2 linked regions of the Kluyveromyces lactis genome follow. Each later gene encodes a partner of the first gene's protein in a complex. Links are inferred from orthologs where the notes say so. Each region holds a gene or a part of one and is shown in the gene's direction. Other genes may lie near its edges.

Evidence for each region. Proteins that work in one complex are often made in the same cells at the same time.
Region 2: the proteins of CYTB (region 1) and QCR7 are in contact, whole or in part, in a cryo-EM structure (PDB 8Q1B), measured with the Schizosaccharomyces pombe proteins. The link is inferred for Kluyveromyces lactis from reciprocal best matches to the Schizosaccharomyces pombe genes cob and qcr7. Residues at the interface, in YP_011104932.1 of Schizosaccharomyces pombe: Ser24, Asn25, Lys107, Tyr108, Pro109, Leu210, Val212, Thr213, Ala214, Met216, Asp217, Phe310, Ala312, Ile313, Arg314, Ser317, Phe318, Asn319, Pro320, Phe321, Ile372, Gly374, Asn375, Thr376, Leu377, Ile378, Asp379, Leu380, Asn381, Leu382; in NP_588364.1 of Schizosaccharomyces pombe: Lys2, Pro3, Val4, Ser5, Leu6, Ala7, Ile10, Gln11, Thr17, Leu20, Leu21, Ile23, Ser24, Asn25, Tyr27, Val28, Leu30, Ser31, Gly32, Tyr33, Arg34, Tyr36, Tyr40, Asp42, Leu43, Met44, Leu45, Glu46, Glu47, Asn48.

What each region holds. Positions count from the first base shown.
Region 1 is NC_006077.1:20,149-23,037, reverse strand, and holds CYTB (apocytochrome b), read left to right. Parts: upstream 1-1,210; coding exon 1,211-2,371; downstream 2,372-2,889.
Region 2 is NC_006039.1:60,627-62,868, reverse strand, and holds QCR7 (ubiquinol--cytochrome-c reductase subunit 7), read left to right. Parts: upstream 1-1,299; coding exon 1,300-1,683; downstream 1,684-2,242. Other genes in the region: KLLA0_C00847g (uncharacterized protein), read left to right, coding at 1-713.

The sequences.
Region 1 (2,889 bases):
AATTTTTATATAATAATATTATTTATATAAAAATAATAATAAATTAGTATTTCGCCATTAGTCATACGACTAATGGCGGGAGTTTATATATTTACATAATCCCGCCATATTGCCAATATTGGCAATATGGCGGGGTATTCTATTATTATATATACCCTTTTATTACATATTATATAATCTCCCAATTCCTTATGGGTTGAAATACGAGGATTATATATATATATATATTTTTGTATATTATATATTAATATATTATATAATAAAATTAATAAATAATGATTACCCCGCGGCTCACAACCTAGGTTGTGAGCCCCGGGGAAGAAATTACAATTCGCCTTTTAGGCATATATTTTCATAATATATATATATATATTTTTATATATTCTATATATATAAAATAATAAATTAGTTCCCTTAAATAGGGATAATTTAGCGAGATAGTTTTAATTAACTTACCCCCCGCGGCACACCCAACCCTACGGTTGGGTGAGGCCGCGGGGGGAATCTATATATAAGTTAATAGTAGTTATATTAGCTCAATTGGTAGAGCGTTCGTTTTGTAATCGAAAGGTTTGGAGTTCGAATCTCTAATATAACAGACCTTATCGTCTAATGGTTACGACATCATCTCTTCATGTTGAAAATATCGGTTCAATTCCGATTAAGGTTATATATTTTATAATCCCTTCTCCCCCGCGACATGACCCTCATAAAGGGTCATGTCGCGGGGGCTGGATATATTACCAAGTATATCCGTGGGATATATTAGAAGTAATATATAATTATAAAATAATAATCAATATACATATATATTATATATGTATCAAATTACTTGATAATAATATATTTATTATATTATTATAATAATTATTATATATATATTATTATATATATAATACAATAATATTATATTTATAAAATATTTATTTATCTCCCGCGAAATTATAAATAATTTCGCGGGGATATTCATATAAATAATATATATAAATTATACATAATTATATTATTATAATTATATATTTATCCCTTTCTCCCGTGGCATCACCCGACCCTCATAAAGGGTCGGGTGATCCGCGGGGGTCATATTTATATAAGGGCCCCGCGGCTCCTCCACGACGTTCGTCGTGGGGAATATATAATATTTATATTATATATTTAATATATATTATATTTATATATATATTTAAAAATATAATAATTCAAATAAAATATGTCATTTAGAAAATCTAATATTTATTTAAATTTATTAAATAGTTATATGATTGATTCACCACAACCTTCATCAATTAATTATTGATGAAATTTAGGATCATTATTAGGATTATGTTTAGTAATTCAAATTTGTACAGGTATTTTTTTAGCTATGCATTATTCATCTAATATTGAATTAGCATTCTCAGCTGTTGAACATATTATGAGAGATGTTCAAGGAGGATGATTTATTAGATATGCTCATGCTAATGGTGCATCATTCTTCTTTATTTGTATGTATATTCATATTGGTAAAGGTTTATATTATGGTTCATATAGAGCTCCTAGAACATTAGTATGAAATGTTGGTGTTATTATTTTTGTATTAACAATGGCTGCTGCTTTCTTAGGATACTGTTGTGTATATGGACAAATGAGTCATTGAGGTGCTACAGTTATTACTAATTTATTCTCAGCTATTCCATTTATTGGTAATGATATTGTATCATGATTATGAGGTGGATTCTCAGTTTCTAATCCTACTATTCAAAGATTCTTCGCTTTCCATTATTTAGTACCATTTATTATTGCTGCATTTGTAATTATGCATTTTATGGCATTACATACACATGGTTCATCAAATCCTTTAGGTGTTACAGGTAATTTAGATAGATTACCAATGCATGGTTACTTTATTTTTAAAGATTTAATTACTGTATTTGTATTCTTATTCTTCTTCTCATTATTTGTATTCTTCTCACCTAATACAATGGGACATCCAGATAACTATATTCCTGGTAATCCATTAGTTACACCTGCATCTATTGTACCAGAATGATATTTATTACCATTCTATGCAATTTTAAGATCAGTACCTGATAAATTATTAGGAGTATTAGCTATGTTTGGTGCTATTTTAATTTTATTAGTATTACCTATTACAGATAGAAGTGTTATTAGAGGTAACGCATTTAAAGTATTCTCTAAATTCTTCTTCTTCTTATTTATTGCTAACTTTGTATTATTAGGCCACTTAGGAGAATGTCATGTAGAGCCTCCTTTTGTTGTAATGGGACAAATTGCTACTGTAATTTATTTTGCATACTTCTTAGTTATTGTACCAGTTGTATCAACAATTGAAAATGTATTATTCTATGTAGGTAGAAAAAATGCAAAGTAATTATTAAAGGTAATAATTTAACTAATCAATATTCTTTTTTATCTATTTTTAATAATAATCAAAAAAGATATTATTCTCAAAATATTAATAATGATTAAATTTAAATCAAAATAAGCCCCACAAATGCGGCATCACCCAACCCTTATAAAGGGTTGGGTGTACCGCGTGGGGAAGAATATTATAAATGTTATAATGAAGTAAAATCAAAACATAATTAACCCCGCGGCTCATCCTCTGGTAATCCCAGAGGATGAGACCGCGGGGGATTTATTATTTGAATATTTAGATTTAGAAGCCCCGCAAATGCGGCATCATCCAACCCTCATAAAGGGTTGGATGAGCCGCGTGGGGAAGAGTAATAGTTTAAAATTAAAAAAAGTATTATTTAATTATGAAAATAATATAAACCCCGCGGCTCGTCCCCGGGGTATCCCGGGGACGAGTCCGCGGGGAAAATATTTTAATTTTAAAAATGTTAAATAGTAATTAATAATAAAATTATTTCAATATTCTTTTTT
Region 2 (2,242 bases), on another chromosome or scaffold:
TGAACAAATACCCAGTTGCCGCAAACCATTTGATACTAGTAACGAAAAAGTACTTGTTGCAGACAGCTCCTTTAAGTCCCAAAGATTTGTTAACTACTTATAAATTATTGCAAGAATTAGATGACGAAGATGAGATGTTGAGACATTTGGCCTTCTATAACTGTGGCCCAAACAGTGGTTCTTCTCAGGATCACAAGCATCTTCAAATCCTTCCATTACCTTATAAATTCGTTCCTTACCAGGATAAGTTATGTAGTGGTAAAGAACATTTCATTCCGAACGCTAAGACTGAACCTTTACAAGATGCAAAAATCCCATTTGCACACTACGCCGTTCCATTACCTGAGGATCCTGAAAAAGTGGATGAAGATCTACTAGCAATGACATTTGTATCATTGTTGCAGAGAACTTTATCTATGTTCCAGGATTGGGAGGGAAGTAACGCAGAAAAATCAAATGACGATGAGGCCAGTATTCCGGCATATAACGTGCTGATGACAAAAGAATGGCTATGTTTGGTGCCTAGATCGAAGGCATTTGCAGAAACTCCTAGTATTGGCTTCAATGCTACTGGATACGCGGGTTTAGTGTTGGTAAAGTGGGATGAGACTTTGAAAGTCCTCAATGAAAACCCATCGGCTGTGACCAAATTGCTATTAGAGTGTTCCTTCCCTAGCACTGCAGGCGCTAAACCAACAGAATATCACTATTGAATAAGCTTTAGTGTGAAAAATAAGTCTATGGGCTGCCCCCAGGTGGCTAACACACTTTCTTATGTTTATGATGTGAATTCATGGTTCACTGGTAAAATTGCTCGATGGTTGATTTCCAAAGCGGACTGGCTACTAAACAATCACGTATAGTAAATAATTGTGCAATGCAATACCATCAATAGATTTCGACTAGTTACGGGCTATCATGAAGGCAACTCACCAGTGAAGTTCCAGAACAGACGATGGGCGTCCGCACTTCGGTTCAGTAGTGATCACGTGATATTTGACCAATGAATTTCGATAATTTAAAATATATTATGTGGTGTACCTGTTTCTTAGTCAGTACTAACCAGTTCTTCGATTTTTTTGAGTTTTTCGGTTTTAACGCTTAATACATAATATTAGCTCGATAGAAACAATTTTTTGCAGATTATCAAAACTTTTCATTCAATACATTACCACTAAACATTGGTAACATTTTGTCAAAGTTCCATTTACTTTACGAAGCTTTCCGATTTGTTTCAGAGCTTCTGACTTATTCTTAGAAGGCCGAACGCTCAAGTAACAACCACGTTTCACATTACAAATGCCACAAACATTTACTTCTATTGCTAAGATCGGTGACTACATTTTAAGAACCCCAGCTCTTGCTAAAGTTGTCGTTCCAATCGCTCACCAGTTCATCAACTTGTCTGGTTACAGAAAGATGGGTTTGAGATTCGATGACTTGATTGAAGAAGAGAACGAGCTTGCCCAAACTGCTTTGAGAAGACTACCAGCCGATGAATCCTACGCTAGAATTTACAGAATCATCAATGCCCACCAACTATCTTTGTCCCACCATTTGTTGCCAAAAGATAAGTGGACCAAACCAGAAGATGACATTCCATACTTGACTCCTTATTTGTTGGAAGCTGAAGCCTTTGTTAAGGAAAAGGAAGAATTGGACAACTTGGAAGTTGCCAAATAATCTCATCCTTGACTGAATTATTCAAAATATCATTCAAAAAAATTACTCATGACCCTCTGACGAAGAGAAAGAAGAAGGAAACACATTACATTATGATCGCAAAAGATTTCAAATTCAATATATCCGTTACTTGCATAGCCAGCTAACGCAGACGCTATTATCGTTATCATATTTTCTTCTAGGAATGAAACAACTTATTTATCTCTAAACTTTGTGAATATCAACCTCTGACAAATATATCTTTATTATTCTAACTTATGTATATATATCTATATATACCAATCTGATTTACATCATTCATTTTTGATACTTTCATTTAAAATTGGTTTTACCAAAGTATTGGCATCGTTACTATTAATTATGTTCTGGTATTGATGGTATTATGTAATTTCTCATAGTAATTAAGCGTTTGGATATATTGATATTTGCTGGAAAAGAAAATATAATGATTGTGGTATAATGTTACATGTGAGGAAAAGGAATTGTCCTTTTGCAATACTACAATTTTGATTCCCACGAAGTGACCAGTTCTATAAAGTTTGGGTCATAACGCGTAATA